Oryctolagus cuniculus: one gene and its partners. The protein of the gene in region 1 purifies or fractionates together with the protein of each later gene. This does not show direct contact. Links are inferred from orthologs where the notes say so. Each region holds a gene or a part of one and is shown in the gene's direction. Other genes may lie near its edges.

Region 1 (3,581 bases):
TCTGGGCCTGGCCGCTTTAGGCCGGGGTGGAGTGCCCTCGCCCTTCCCAAGCCTCCCTGACTTTAAGCTGCCCGTCAGGGTGGGTTGGCTTTGGCCCCCAGCCAGGGCCGCTGTCCCTGCCGCTGCCTTGCTGCGCTGCTGCCTCCCTCCCTCCCTCCCGCCCCCCACCCCCGCCTGCTTTAATTCCAACTGTCAGCAGCTTGTGGAAGGACAGACTGACACGTTCTCCCTCTCCCTGCCCCCTCTTCCTGTTCCACATTGACTCACCTGCCTCACTCTCCTCCCCCGCCAATCCCGCTGGGAATTCGGCGTCCTGGCTTCCGGGCACTGCCCTGCCAGCCTTTCCCACACTTGAGTGCGCGGTGTGAGTGTGTCGGGCGTGGCTCTTTGCGGAGCCGTGGGTGCCAGCACGCCCCCTCCCTGCCAGAGGTGTGGGTGCAGCACGTTCATGGTTTCGGGAGTGGCAGCTGGACATCAAGCAGGTGCCGATGAGAGTGTGTCTGTGCCGTGCTTTGCTTTGCAGGAGCAGCAGGCAGAAGATGCCTGAGCTGCGTCCAGGTCCAAGGTGACCCAGTGTCTCTTTCACTCTGCAAACATTTGCTTGGTCCGGCTCCTGGCCAGGCACAGGGCCAGGTGCTGGGGGCATAGAGGCAAAAAGGAGAAAAAGGCCCTGACTTTGCCCTTGAGGAGTTCCCAGACAGGCCGTGGTGACAGAGTGGCAGAAGTAGGCGCTGGCACAGGCGGAGCCCATGCTGTAAGGCTGAGAAGGCCCACAGTGGCCGGGGGCAGGGCAGGCTGGGGGCATGGAGGCAGGACCTGAACTTGAAATGAGGGGAGAACCAGTGAGAGGATATCTGGGTATGTGGGGAAAGCTTGCCAGGCGAGGGCAGCTTGTTCAGACAGCACTCAGTGTGGGCCGGGAGTGTGCTGCCCTTCCAGGTGGCTCTGAGACATTGGGAGCAAAGGGCTGTGGCATGGCGGGGGCATGGGGCTGAAGATGACCAGAGTTGAACAGGCAGGCAGGCAGGCCAGCACCTGGCCCATCCCAAGGAGCGTTACAGCCCCAGCAGATACCCCTGGGAGGGAGCACTTTGATAGCATGGAATGTAGGTGCACTAAATGTTTTATATAACATTGTGTCCAGTCTATGTGTGTAAGGTGTACATAAATACAAATGAACTTTGTGTGTGTGTGGGTGTGTATTTTTTTTTTTTTTAAGATTTATTTATTTGAAAGGCAGAGTTACAGAGAGAGAGAGAGCGAGAGAGAGCGAGCGCTCTTCCATCCTCTGACTCACTCCCCAAATGGCTGCAATGGCTGGGGCTGTGCCAGACCAAAAGCCAGGAATCCAGAGCTTCCTCTGGGTCTCCCATGCAGGTGCAGAGACCCAAGCATTTGGACATTCTCTGCTGCTTTCCCAGGTGCACCAGCAGGGAGCTGGATTAGAAGTAGAACATCCGGGTCTCAAACCAGCACCCAAGTAGGATGCCGGTGTCACAGGCGGTGGCTTAACCCATGCTAGGCTGCAACACCGGCCCCAAGTTTCCTGTTTAGACTTGGGTCCTGTCCCCAGAGTATCTCACGTGTATGCAGATATTACAAAATCTGGGAAAAACCTGGAATACGGAGCACTTCTGGTCCCAAGCATTCAGATAAGGCAAGCTCCATCTCTAGTATGTGGCAGACTGGGACTTTGAACCCCCCAGGCCGGCCCAGCCCTCCTTCCCCCCGTGTGCTGTGCTGCTCAAGGCCCTGACCCTGTCCTTGCCACAGGAGTCTGGGCAGGAGAGGGAGGGAGAGGCTGGGGCAGGAGCAGATGACTCCTGTGAAGTGGGCTCAGGAGGCTGGGGAGGTGGGCCTCATGGGTGACCTTGTTCTCTGTCCATCCCCCTTGCAGCCCCAGTGGGTGCCTGGCCCGTTCCCCGCCCTCCGGCTCCCAGGACCTGCTGGAGGACATGCTGGCATCTGGCAGCTCCAAGGCTGGGGCCCGTAGGGAGTCAACTGCTTCGGGCCACAGGGACCTGTTGGAGGATGAAGGAGCCGCAGCGAGTGCTGACCAAGGGGAGCCTTTGCCCGCCTGGAGACCCCAGCCTGATGGTGAAGCCAGCCGGGTGGAAGAGGTGGATGGCAGCTGGGGCCCGGCAGGGGCCAGGCAGGGCGAGCAGGGGCCAGCCCTGAGCCCTTGGCGCCCTCCGCAAGGGCCTCCCCCCAGCACTCCCAGCCAGGACTTCTCCTTTATTGAGGTCAGTGGAGGGTGAGCCCAGGGCTGCGGGTGGGCTGCGGGTGGGCTGCTGGCGGTGCAGGGGCGTGGCGGATGGCGCCAAAGCCCCGTTGATGGAGTTTCCCAGAGGAGCCTCAGCCTGGGAAGAAGGCTGGTGGTGGTGGTGGGGTCCTGGGAAAAGGAAGCTCCACCTGCAGCTGTTGGGGGCGCTCCTGTGGGTGGGGCAAGGCCATGGCGCAGGGATGGCAGGGTGTCACCATTGTCCTAAGCAGGATACTGAGGTCCTTGACAGTGCCATGTACCGGAGCCGTGCCAACCTAGGACGCAAGCGTGGCCACCGAGCCCCAGCCATCCGGCCAGGGGGTACCCTGGGCCTGTCGGAGGCGGCAGAGTCGGATGCACGGCTGTTCCAGGACTCCACGGGTAGGGGCAATGTCTTCTTTGGTGGTGTTTCCGTTGATGTTGGGGTTAACTGGGCCCGGGTTGGCAGGGTGGGAGGTGAGGGTGGACATCTAGCGATGCTGCCTGCACTCACCTCCTCCCTCCCGGGCCTGTGCAGAGCCACGAGCTGCTCGGGTGCCATCTTCAGACGAGGAGGTCGTGGAGGAGCCTCAGAGCCGCCGGACACGGATGTCCTTGGGCACCAAGGGGCTGAAAGTCAACCTCTTTCCTGGCCTGAGCCCGTCAGCCCTGAAGGTATCATCGGATCATTCAGCAGACACGTGCAGCCCCTGGACCAGCTGACCACCTTGCATCCAGCCTTTCTGCTACCCATCCTTCTACTCATCACCCATTTCCCATGCCTCTCCATTCTGCTCTCCAGTGAGGGCCTCAGGAGATCCCTTCGGGCCCTGGTGGACCCTGTGCTGTGTGCTAAGTGGGATGGAAGGAGAACACAGTGTGTTCTGGTCCAGGAACCTCAGGAGTAGTAGTGGACTTGAGCCATGCTCATAACTAGCTTGGGTGAAGGGGGAAGTTTAGGAGTCACCAGGGTAGGCATAGATAAGGGCTGGGCCTCTCCAGAGAGGGAGGAGTTTACTTCCTGAGGGTGGGTGTGAGGGGGAGGGAGGGTGGCTTGGGAGGGTCTCAGGAAAGCACCTGCCCTCAGCCTTGAGGTAGGACAGCCGTTGGCTGTGGGTCCTGGGGCAGTTGGAGGCATTGCAGACAGAGGGAACCGATGAGCAAATGCATAGGAATGGGAAGTGACCGGTCCAGCTTGTCTGAATGCAACCCGGCGGTATGTTTCTGAGGACCTACTGTGTCCTGGCTCAGCTCCCAGGGGAGCTCACCTCTAAGGGCACTGGGGTAAACAGACTGCAGAGGAGTCAGTGCGTGGTCCTGGGGACTGCGTGGCGCTCCG
Region 2 (4,210 bases), on another chromosome or scaffold:
ATTCTACCGCGAGAAGGGAGGATGCGAAACTAGGACGGAGCTATCTCCACGCATTCTTTTATTTACCTTTCACGACACAACTTACAGGAGTTACACGTGAAACCAAAAACAAAAAACCGGAGTTGTCAGGAAACCCTTGCTTCGCTCACTTCGCCGCAGCCGGCGTCTCCTTAGCAGCCGAGACCGGCGCTCGGCGGCTCTCGGGCCGCCTGAGGCGAGCGCGCAGCGAGGCGCGTTCTTCCGTCTCCTGCCGCACGACTTAGTAAACGCTGGCCTGATACCCCACCCAGCCTTCTCAGCCTTCCTCCCCGCGTCCACAGAGAGGACTGAGTAAGAAAACGACAAGGGTCAAGCAGAAAACGGCCAGCCCCCAGGCCGCCGCCGCGCGCGCACGCGCACGCGCACGACCGGCGACCGCGGCGCGCGAGGGGCGGGCCCGAGGCGCGCGCCTGGAGCTCCGCCCCGCGGCCGCTCCGCCTCCTCCCCCTCACCCCACCCCTCAGCGCCGGGGAGTGACTGACTCCCGCCAGCCCCTCCACGTCAATCAACCCTCCTCCTTCTCGCACTCTCTGCACCTTGTTATTAATCTCAATACCGATATTGCCCGGACGTCTCTCCCCCGGCTCTCGGGGGGTTGTGAACGTGTGTGAGCGAGAACGAAGGCACCGAAAGCTGGCGTCTCTGTTCAGCCAAGGCCCCGGCAGCACCAGGCGCAGCAGCAACCCCCGCAGCGGCGGCAGCAGCCCCAGCACCAGGAGGCCAAGGCCAAGGCCGGGCTCTGTGAGGCTCTCGGAGCTATAGCCGCGGCTTCGGCAGCTGCGGGGGCGCAGCTTCCTCCGGCGGCGGAGGCCTTCGCGTCAGCGGCCGCGGCCGCGGGGCCTCTCCAGTGCGACCAGGGCCACCGTCCTCGAAGCCCAGCGGCGCGGCCCTCGTCCCCCTCCCCGCTCCGGCTCCGTTTCGCTCCCTCCGGCCGCCCTCCGCGCCGCCGCCTCTGCCGTTCCTCAGGCGGCCCGGCCCGGCCCGCCCGCCCTGCGTCCCCTCTGGCCGGTGCCTCTCCCCCCGGCGGGCTGCCTGCATGTCTTTACTGCCCTCAGCCCCGCCGCCACCGCCGCCGCCGCCTCCCCCGCCGCCGCAGCCCCAGCGCCAGCCGCCTCGCCGCCGCCGCCGCCGCCGCCGCCCGGACCCTGGCGCGCTGAATGCAGGTGAGGAGGGGTGCGGGACCAGGCAGGCCCTCCGCGACCCCGGGGCCGGCGCGCCCGGCCGCCCGCGAGCCTCGGGCCCCGGGCCCCGGCGTGCCGCGGCGGCTTCCCCTCGGGGCGGGCGGGCGGGCGTGGGTGTTTGTGTTTGCGTCTGCGGCCGCGGCTCCGGAGGGGAAGCATCTGTGGGGGCCCGCGCGCGCGCGCGCGCGCTCGCTCGCTCGCGCTCGCGGGCGTGTGTGTCTGTGTGAGTGTGTGTGGTGTTTCCCCTGCCGCGGGGAAATGGCTGCTGTTGCTCCTTGTGGGCCGGAGGCAGAGAATGAGGTAGAGTGTGTGTGTGTGCCTCCGAGTCGGACCGATCGCGAGCGTTGGGGAGGACTAGCGCGTCCCCGGGGACATGAGGTGGGAGAGGGACAAATACGCGTGTGGGTGTGCGAGTTGGGACTTTGGCGGGCGGCCTGACGGCCCGCGAGTGGGTGTGTGTGTGTGTGTGTGTCGAGTGACCGGAGGGGGCGGCGGGGTGACCCGCGCTGGTCGGAGGCGGGCGAAGGCTCCGGGTGTGTGTGTGGAGTGTCGGGGGGCGTCCACGCCCGCGGCCGGGACCCCCGAGTGGCGTGTCCCTCCCGCTTTGTGGCCCAGGCTCCCGAGCCTCGCAGGTGAGAGCTGCCCCGCGGGGGCCGCGCCGGGCAGGGAGGTGAGCGAGTGCGGCCCACGCGAGGCGGCACGGCCCGGCGAGCTGCGGGTCTGGGTTCCCGGGGCCGCGGCCGCGGCAGGAAGCGCGCCGGCCTGCAGCGCGGCCTAACCGCCTCGGCGCCCGCCCGCCCGGACGCCTCCCGGGACGCGGAGCCCGCGCGGGCGCACGGGGGTGCCTCGGGCCTGGGCAGGTGAGAGTCGGAGGCGGGACGCGCCGACTGCCGTCGCCCCGGCCGCCTCCGCGTCCCCCGAGGAGAGGCGAAGGCTTATTTTGGCGTTCCACGGGCGCGGGGACCCCAGGGAAAGTGGTTCGGAGCAGTCCATCGGGGAGAAGACGCGCTGTCGGGACCACTTCCCTTCGGGCTGCGTGGAGGGACTGAGAAAACATTTGCGTTTTGTGTTGCAAATACTTTCTGGTTGGTGAGATGTAATTTTTTTTTTTGCTTCCACGAGGTCGATTCGCTGGGAGGGGCGGGGGAACACCGGGAACCGGGCTTTGCTGGCCTGTGGTGGTGGTGGCTTGGCTCGGCGTTGTGCATTTGAAATTGTCGTCTCCTGCCTCCTAGGGGAAAGGCGTGTTCGCGCCGGGCCGAGCCGAGCCGAGCCCAGCCGAGCCGAGCCGAGCCAAGCCAAGCCGGGAGGTCGGGGAGGAAGAGGAAGTTCCTGGAGCTGTCATGCTCCTGAACTCGGCCGCCCGCTTGGCTTGGGCTCTCGAGGTGGATTGTGTTGGAGTTGAGGGGAGCCGTGTGTACGCAGTGGAAGGGCAGCGCTGCCTTTGGGGAGATGCGGCTACCTTCCCGCCTCTCGTGGTCCTCGTCGTCAGTCGAAGCGTCGAGCAGGCAGCCTCTATTGTGTACTCGGTGTGTGCTCCTGGAAAGCTGTTGGGAGAGTAGTCTTAAGCAAAACGCAATTACGAAGAGAAGCCTGCTAGCTCATAGGCGTGCAGTGTGTTTCAGAACCAAGTGTAAATGGCATTTGGATAATTATTTGCTGATTTACTTTTGTCGACTCCACCCTCTTTACATTGGAACGGAGTTACTAGCTCATCTAGCTAGAACTCCACTATGGATAAAGCCATAGTACAGATTGAGCGTTTGTGGGCTGTGTTTTGAGTTCCGGCCAGAGGTTGCTTGTCCCTGTCTGAACCAGGTCTCACGAAGAAATAGTGCATGCTGCTCCCTAGCAAGAGATGGATGTTTTCTGTTGGCACTCCTGGAAGAACAACTTAGCACATGCAGTTTAGTGGAAAAAGGATGTTTTCCAGACTTCAGTTACAATCCCAGCTATGCCATTTTTCTTAGCTATTTTGACCTTAGGCAAGGTATCTTGTTTCTACAGGACTGTGTTTTCTAATCTGAAATAGAGTGATAATACCTTTATGATACTACAGTTATGAGATTAGAATGAGAAAACGTTTGGTACGTAGTAGATGCTTAGTTAAATTTTAGTTCTGCCTCTTGCAGCCCTATCAACATTGAAAAACATAAGTACCGATTAATTACCCAAAACAATATTATGTAACTATAAGCTTAAAATCATGACAATAGAATATTTCTGTCCTTGGTTGTACATAAAGTATAAAAAACAACGCATATAAAACTTTGTTCTAGAAATATTAAAATGGCTAGTATATTAGTTTGTAGTATATTAGTGTGTGTGAGTGTGTGTGTGTGTGTGTGTGTATATATATATATAATGGGCTAGTATATTAGTTTGTAGTTACTTTACTTTAAAGTCACAGTTACACAGAGAGAGGAAGAGAGAGAAAGAGAGGTCTTCCATCCCCTGGTTCACTCCCCAGATGGTCGCAACGTCCGGAGCTGGGCCGATACGAAGGCAGGAGCCAGGAGCTTCTTCCAGGTCTCCCACATGGGTGCAGGGGCCCAAGGACTTGTATTCTTGTACTCTTTTCCCAGGCCACAGCAGAGAGCTGGATTGGAAATGGAGCAGCCGGATCTTAAACTGGCGCCCATATGGGATGTCAGCACTGCAGGCGGCGGCTTTACCCGCTAAGCCACAGCGCAGGCCCCATGATATTTTTCCTATTTTTTAATTGCTAATCTCTAAGTTTCATTACCTCTTAGGGGTTTTTGTTATATAACCTTGGAAAAAAGTTTTAAGCACACATAGCATATATGTTCTAGTATACTCAAGTATTAAAAAGGATCAAGGAACCAGAATTTACCTATAGAAATCCAGAGTTAAGTGCTACAAAAATAGCTCATGTTGTCTGATTCCAGTAAACGAAATCCTTTGGAATATTCTGAATATAAATAAAAGTCCTGTATCAACTTTCAACAGTTTTTCATTTTCTGTGTTAC
Region 3 (3,581 bases), on another chromosome or scaffold:
GGCCTGGAAGAGGGGCAACCGGGACAGAATCTGGCGCCTGACCGGGACTAGAACCCGGTGTGCCGGTGCCGCTAGGTGGAGGATTAGCCTATTGAGCCGTGGCCTCCATTCCTGTTCTGTTCTGATGAACCCAACTAGGGGAAAGTGCACAGGCTCACTGTCTGATTCCTTTTCATGTTTTGTGACCAGGACCTCAAAAATAGACCTTTAATTCTGCCAGACAGCATCATACCAAGGATACCTAGTCTATTCACTTTTTCGCTCTCATATATATAGCAGTTTTACACTTTCACAGACACTTAATATAAGAACTTGTAACTTTCCCTCTGTCCTATACTTGCTTTTTATTTCTGTTTCACTAAGAGAGGTGGAAATAATCAGAAGACAACATCAGCATAGTCTTGCCACCAAATCTTAGTACCTGCTGCCATCTACATCTACCTTATTGTTTTCTTGTTCTCTGTTACCATAGTCAATCCATGCTATTTATAACCTCTTATGAAAACTTAACAGTTTTCCACTCTTAGATGGTATCATTTCCAGCAGCATACAGATACACTGTTACTTCTCTTTTCAGAAGAAAAATTGTCTCTTGATCTGTCTCCTTGAATCACATGTCCATTTCTTTATTCTCCTTTGAAGCAAAACACAAAAGAATAATCTGACACTATTGGTGTAGCTGGTAAGGCCACTGCCTGTGGTGCCAGCATCCTATATGGATGCCCATTTGAGTCCCGGCTACTCCATTTTCAATCCAGCTCCCTGTTGCTGTGCTTGGGAAAGCACCAGAAGATAGCCCAAGTCCTTGGGCCCCTGCACCCAAGTGAGAGACATGGAAGAACCTCAGGGCTCCTGGCTTCAGACTGGCCCAGCTCCAGCTCTTGCGGCCATTTGTGGAGTAAACCAGTGGGTAGAAGTTCTCTGTCTAGCTCTACCTTTTAAATAAACAAATAATCTTTAAAAAAATTTTTCTGTTGAACTCATTCAATCATGGTTTTGCCTCTGCCACTCCACTGATATTAGCCTCATTCAGCTTATGAAATGACCCCCTTGTTGTTAAGTTCAGTGATCTCTTCTAGGAACTCTTCCTCCTTAATACACATTCTCATTTTAATTTGAGGACACCATTCTTACCTGACCTCACTGGTTGACCCTTCTTTATTTCCTTTGCTGATTCTTCCTTTTCTTCTTGACCCTTTTTGGTTAGAGCTCTACATTTGCTCCCTTGGTAGTCATTTGCGGAAGTCTTGTATTTTTAATTGATATATATATGGATATATACAGAATCTGAGTGTATCTTACTATTTTATACTGCTACCACCCTGGTTTGAATCATTATTCTTTGTAGCCTGGGTACTCTGTTAGTCACTCAACAACTATCTTTGATTATCCCTTTCTCCTTCCCAAGCAATCTCCTCTTCATATAGCAGCCAGGACAAACCTTTTTGAATAAGTTGCTCCTTTGTTCAGTACTCAGTAAGAGTTTGTAGTTTCATTAGGATTAAATATCCAAAGCCTTGCCTACAAGGTCTTCCTAGTGATCGTCTTTCCCATCATCCTTCCTCAGCAACTTTTCCCTTCGTTCACTGTGTCACAGCTTCCCTTTTCCTTCTGTGTATGGCAACCATGCCCTGCCTCAGTTGGTGTAGCAGTATCCTCTGACAAGAGCAGTTTTTTGCTCGGTAATTAATATGATTATCTCCTCCTTTTCCTTCAAGTTTTGTTAAGATCTGACTTCCTCAGTGATACCTTACCTGACCACACTACTTTAAATATGCAGCCAGTCTCTTCTCCCAAACCCTCCCCTAACACGGGCAATTATATATTGATCTATTATGCCAATTGTCTGCCTCCCTCCAGTCTGCCATCTTCAATCAGAAAGTTTCATGTTGTTAGTGATAATTATTTGTTCATTGATCCATCTCAAGCACCTAGAACAGTGCCAGACGTATAATAGGCACTCCGTAAATGGTGATTTTGAAACTGCTTTTCATACTGACATTTTATTCCCTGGCCACATAAATGGAAAAGTAGTTTAACTTAGGGGCATGATGAATTCAAAGCATTTTGAATTGAAACAGTTAAAAGCAGAACATTTTTATTTGTTAATACATGGTGTTACTAATGCTGTATGACTGTTGAGGGAAGTAGTCCTATTGTATTTTTCACATACATATTTGTTTTGGTTTCCTGCTGTTTAACTCATACTAAACCCAAGAAAAGGAATTAGAAGTAAAGAGGCTCATTTTATATTTTAAGTCTTTGTTTCTCCTGATTTTTCTGAAATAAAATTAGATATATTTTTTTCTACTTTGGACTTCAAATTGGTTTTTTTCCCCCTTTTTCAGAAATCTCTACCCCAAATTTGCGTCACCTTGGGCATCTTCACCTTGTCGACCTCAAGACATAGGTAGGAGAATCTATTTGTGTTGAGATCTTTTAAAAAGATATTTACAACTGAGAATCAGTTAATAAGGCTTTTTTCATTTTATTATCCAGACTTCCATGTTCCATCTGAGTACTTAACGAACATTCACATTAGGGATAAGGTGAGTGTAGTTTATTATTCTACTCAGTCAGCATGAATTTATTTTCCAGGTACTGTTTTTCAGTTCAGATAGCATAATATTTTTTAAATAATTAGTGTTCTGAGGGGTATGCTTTTGTATGTTCAGTTACATGTAACAATTTTACTTATTTTTGTTTATGCTAATGTTGATGATGTTTTCTATTTTAAAAACAAAACAATGATAGGACTGGTAAGCTATTTCTTGAATTAAATGACAGGGTACAACCATAACCACAGTTGATGGGAATAAGCTAATTTGATAAATTTCCTTCTGATTTTCTCATTTTATACACTTGTCAATAAGAATGATTTTACTTTACACATATTAACAGATTTGGTAATTTTAGTGAAGCATTATATATATATTTTTATAAAGTATTTATGACTTCTGGCTTTTTTCCCTGTATTTTTCTTTTTTTTAATTACCTAAAATTCTAATTGTATAATAATTAATCTTACTCTGTCTTTTTTCATCTAAGGAAAAAAATGCTAAACATTTTTCCTTGGAAGAACCAAGAGAGTTTATTTCTGTTAGGAAAAAAATGGTATCTAAATTTTTGCCTGGTGAAAGGATATGATTTAGTGAGAAAACAGAAGAGAGAGGACTTCAAAAAGTTCATGGAAAATGCACATTTTTTTTCTTTAAGATATATGAATGAAAGAGTTAGAGAGAAGGAGAGAGATCTTCCATCTGCTGTTTCACTCCACAGATGCCTACAATGGCCAGGGCTGGGCAGGCCAAAGCCAGGAGTCAGGTCTCTCACGTGGGTGCAGGAATCCAAACACTTGGGCCATCTTCTGCTGCTTTCCTAGGAACATTAGCAGGGAGCTGGATCAGAAGTGCAGCAGCTGGGACTCGAATTAGCACTCATATGGGATCCCAGCATTGCAGGTGGTGGCCTAACCCACTACAGCACAACGCCTGCCCCAAAATGTGCATATTTTGAAAAAACTATGCATGGGTTTCAAAATTTTTTGCACCAAAATAAACTTACCATCTAATTCTGTTCTG
Region 4 (3,581 bases), on another chromosome or scaffold:
GTGCAGTAGCAGAGAGCTGGTTTGGAGGTGGAGCAGATGGGACTTGAACCAGCGTCCATATGAGAGACCAGTGTTGCAGGTGGTGACTTTACCAACTGTGCCACAACGCTGGCCCCAAAGTGAAGTTCTTAATAGTTACTAAAACCTTTAGTTTGGCTGATGGTGCCGCAGATCATAGAATTTTCAAATGCCAAATTTAGTTACACCGGTCATCAATGTATTTATTTGGCTAATTGAAACTTACTTGTAATTTAGTCTTTAAAAATATGGGGGTTGAGGTAGCACATAGCAAATGCTAGTTTTACCAGATTCAGGTTAATGTTTAAAATTAGCCACTGGAGAAATTGTTGTGCGTTTCTGTTTCCAGGGTTTTTACCTCCTATAACTCCACCGGAAAAGTTCTTTCTTTCCCAGCTGATGCTGGCACCGCCCAGGGAACTCTTCAAAAAGACCCCTCGCCAGATCGCGCTGATGGACGTCGGAAACATGGGCCAGTCTGTGGACATCAGCGGACTTCAGCTAGCCTTGGCGGGTGAGCCGTGGGCCTCCGGGGGTGGTAGTGCTGGTCCTCTTAGCTTTGCGTCTCTACTTCCATAAAAAATGTCGTTTCAGCACAGGCTCCTGAGGGCACGTCCTGTTTTGATGCTAATGGGGCCTCTGAGAACATTTTGAGTTTTCACTTGAAATGACTGCTTTTCCCGTTGTAGAGGAATGCTGGCTAACGTTTAGTTTCTATTAAAAATAATCCTGTGATTGAAGACTCACTTGTTAAGGTGTCAGTACTACCCAAAACAATCTACAGATTCAGGGCCATTCCAGTCAAAATCCCAGCAACATTTTATGCAGAAGTAACAAAAATCCAAAGGAATTTCAAGAGACCCTAAGGAGCCAAAACTGTTTTCTTGGCATCCTTGTCGAAAGTCCTTCTCTCCTGTTTGCCAGGGTTTATTTCTGGGCTTTCTAGTGTGTTCTCTTGGTTTGTACTTGTGTGTCTTTTTTGCCAGTACCACACTGTTTTGATTAGTGCAGCTTTGTACTAATTTTTGAAATCAGGAAGTGTTAACACTTCCAATTTTGTTCTTCTTTTTCAGGGTTGTTTTGGAATATTCTGTGCTACACATAAACAAATGAATGAGGGTTCTGAAGCAGACAGTGGGTGATGACAGAAAATAATAATAAGACCTGCTGTAGCTTCTGTTCAGGGTCAGGCTGTCTGAGTTCTGAGAAATCAGAGGATCTTTGCTTGCCTACTCTACAACACAGCTCTTGTCACGCAAGAGGGATTTACTAGGGCAGTTATTACTTTTAAAGATTTATTTATTTATTTGAAAGGCAGTTATAGAGAGGCAAAGAAAGAGAGGTCTTCCACCCACTAGTTCACTAGTTCACTCTCCACATGATCACAATGGCTGGAGCTGAGCTGATCTGAAGTCAGGAACCAGGAGCTTCCGCTGGGTGGGTGCAGGAGCCCAAGGACTTGGGCCATCTTCTACTGCTTTCCCAGGCCATTAGCAGGGAGCTGGGTCGGAAGTGGAGGAGCAGCCGGGACTAGAACCGGTGCCCATATGGGATGTTGGTGTTGCAGCTTTGGCCGCTGTGCCACAGCACCAGCTTCTCACTTGGGCAACTGTAACATGTCACTAGATTTGCAAACCCTTGATATTGTGAGTGAGCTGCAGAGTAATGTTGACAGTGCCCTATCCTCAGACCCCATATAGCACACACTGGGCTTCTAATACAAGGCCACGTGTTGTAGTAACTTACTTCTCTTTGGAACAGTCTGAACAGCACTTTTTAACTGGAGTATATCAGTATACCAATGGTTATTTTCTGAAAGCAAGAGAAATCTTCTTAAGACTTTGAAGGCTGGGGCCAGTGCCGTGGCTCACTTGGTTAATCCTCTGCCTGCAGCGCTGGCATCCCATATGGGTGCTGGGTTCTAGTCCCAGTTGCTCCTCTTCTAGTCCAGCTCTCTGCTGTGGCCTGGGAAGGCAGTGGAGGATGGCCCAAGTGCTTGGGCCCCTGCATTCTTGTAGGAGATGCGGAAGAAGCTCCTGGCTCCTGGGTTCGGATCCGTGCAGCGCCGGCTATGGTGGCCATTTGGGGAGAGAACCAATGGAAGGAAGACCTTTCTCTCTCTCTCCCTCTCACTGTCTGTAACTCTACCTGTCAAATAAATAAAATCTTAAAGACTTTGAAGGCCAAAGGAACACAAAAATACTCGTTAGCCTCTAGTGCCAGATATGATCTACTAGAAAGCAAATGGTGGTTTCCTTAACCAGAGATAGTATGAAAACTGGCTGGTGCCGAGGGGATAGGCAGCATTAGGCAGCTCCCCCTCTTAGCTGATGTGTGTTCTGAGGGTTCTTTCTATGTCTCTGGGCTTTTTCCTCCATTTGCCTTATGGTCTTTCATGGACTTTTGTAGCTCCTTAATGAGGATTGAGCCTTCTTTGTTTAAAATGACACAATCCAGACCACAGCTGCTTGGAGGGCTTGTCACGCGGTAAACCACAGCAGCGGCCAGCCCAGGTTAGGGAATGGAGGCTGCTGCCTGCTGCCCCCTCACCCCCCATCACTAGCCTGACGTCCGTCCATGATACGCTGTCTCCGTTTGCTTGCCGGCCTTCCCGCCTTCCCCCCCGCCCCTGCCTACTTCATGCACTGGGTACAGGTTTCCTCACTGGGCCTCTCCTCCTGTTGAGTGTTGAGCTCGGAGTGCAGGGTGGCGCCGAGTCTCTGCCGTGGCTGCCTGTCACTGCTGTTGGTATGTTCGTGCAGTAGGATATCGGTTGTTTAAGCTGCGAGCATTGCCAAGACTCCTGTGTTTCCTCTTGGAAAGATAGGCACGTGTCACACTTCACTAGGTGTGTTACTCAGCTTTTTGCTACGTTAACAAAATACCTCACACCTGTTCCTTAGAAAGAGAAGTGTATTTACCTCATGGTTTTGAAAGCTTATGTGGCACAGGGTCTGGTGAAGGTGTGGCGTGTGTGCCAGGCTTGCCCCTTTTACAGTAACCCTCTCCTGAGAACTCAAGGGTCCCGGGGATCCAGATCCCCTCTGAAGGCAAATCTCCAGTGACCCAAGGATCTCCTGCTAGGCCCTGGGGACCCAGCTGATAACACCTTCTAACTTTTGGGGACCCTTGGGGGATAAACCAAATCCACATCATAGCAGCAGGTAATGTCACACTGTCCTCCAAAGTCGCCATGCCTTTTTTCATCCCCAGGAGCAGTGTGTGTGACCCTATGTCCTCTGCACTTGATAATAACACCCTCATTAACTGGTCAGTCCTGGTGAGTGTGTGTTATCCTGTGCTTTAACTGAATTCCCCTAGGTTCCTATGGGATTAAATAGCTTCAACTGTTTATTAGTCACTTAAGCTTCCTTGTAAAATGCCTGTTCATTAGTCTAACTTTTCCTGTTTTTTTCCAAGTTGATTTGTAGCAGTTTAAGAATATATTATGCATACACAGAGTCTGGCCCTTTGGCCTTTTATCTTGGTGTGTTGCAGACAGCTTCCTCCGGTTAGTCTGTCTTTTCTATTGCCTCTTGGTGCCCTCGGTTTTACAAGTTTCC

What was found.
Region 2: the proteins of TNKS1BP1 (region 1) and CNOT6L purify together in Homo sapiens (affinity purification with mass spectrometry; 4 studies listed by BioGRID and IntAct, with this or other methods). This does not show direct contact. The link is inferred for Oryctolagus cuniculus from reciprocal best matches to the Homo sapiens genes TNKS1BP1 and CNOT6L.
Region 3: the proteins of TNKS1BP1 (region 1) and CNOT2 purify together in Homo sapiens (affinity purification with mass spectrometry; 5 studies listed by BioGRID and IntAct, with this or other methods). This does not show direct contact. The link is inferred for Oryctolagus cuniculus from reciprocal best matches to the Homo sapiens genes TNKS1BP1 and CNOT2.
Region 4: the proteins of TNKS1BP1 (region 1) and CNOT11 purify together in Homo sapiens (affinity purification with mass spectrometry; 5 studies listed by BioGRID and IntAct, counting the BioPlex papers as one, with this or other methods). This does not show direct contact. The link is inferred for Oryctolagus cuniculus from reciprocal best matches to the Homo sapiens genes TNKS1BP1 and CNOT11.

What each region holds. Positions count from the first base shown.
Region 1 is NC_091432.1:14,815,978-14,819,558, forward strand, and holds part of TNKS1BP1 (182 kDa tankyrase-1-binding protein), read left to right. Parts: intron 1-1,897; coding exon 1,898-2,243; intron 2,244-2,493; coding exon 2,494-2,644; intron 2,645-2,780; coding exon 2,781-2,917; intron 2,918-3,581.
Region 2 is NC_091439.1:88,150,350-88,154,559, forward strand, and holds the start of CNOT6L (CCR4-NOT transcription complex subunit 6-like), read left to right. Parts: upstream 1-1,348; 5' UTR 1,349-1,515; coding exon of another isoform or gene 1,516-1,520; 5' UTR 1,521-1,593; coding exon 1,594-1,598; exon of another isoform or gene 1,599-1,852; intron 1,853-4,210. UniProt on the Homo sapiens protein: Has 3'-5' poly(A) exoribonuclease activity for synthetic poly(A) RNA substrate.
Region 3 is NC_091442.1:72,885,176-72,888,756, forward strand, and holds part of CNOT2 (CCR4-NOT transcription complex subunit 2), read left to right. Parts: intron 1-2,348; coding exon 2,349-2,410; intron 2,411-2,499; coding exon 2,500-2,549; intron 2,550-3,581. UniProt on the Homo sapiens protein: Component of the CCR4-NOT complex which is one of the major cellular mRNA deadenylases and is linked to various cellular processes including bulk mRNA degradation, miRNA-mediated repression, translational repression during translational initiation and general transcription regulation.
Region 4 is NC_091433.1:107,379,308-107,382,888, reverse strand, and holds part of CNOT11 (CCR4-NOT transcription complex subunit 11), read left to right. Parts: intron 1-367; coding exon 368-532; intron 533-3,581. UniProt on the Homo sapiens protein: Component of the CCR4-NOT complex which is one of the major cellular mRNA deadenylases and is linked to various cellular processes including bulk mRNA degradation, miRNA-mediated repression, translational repression during translational initiation and general transcription regulation.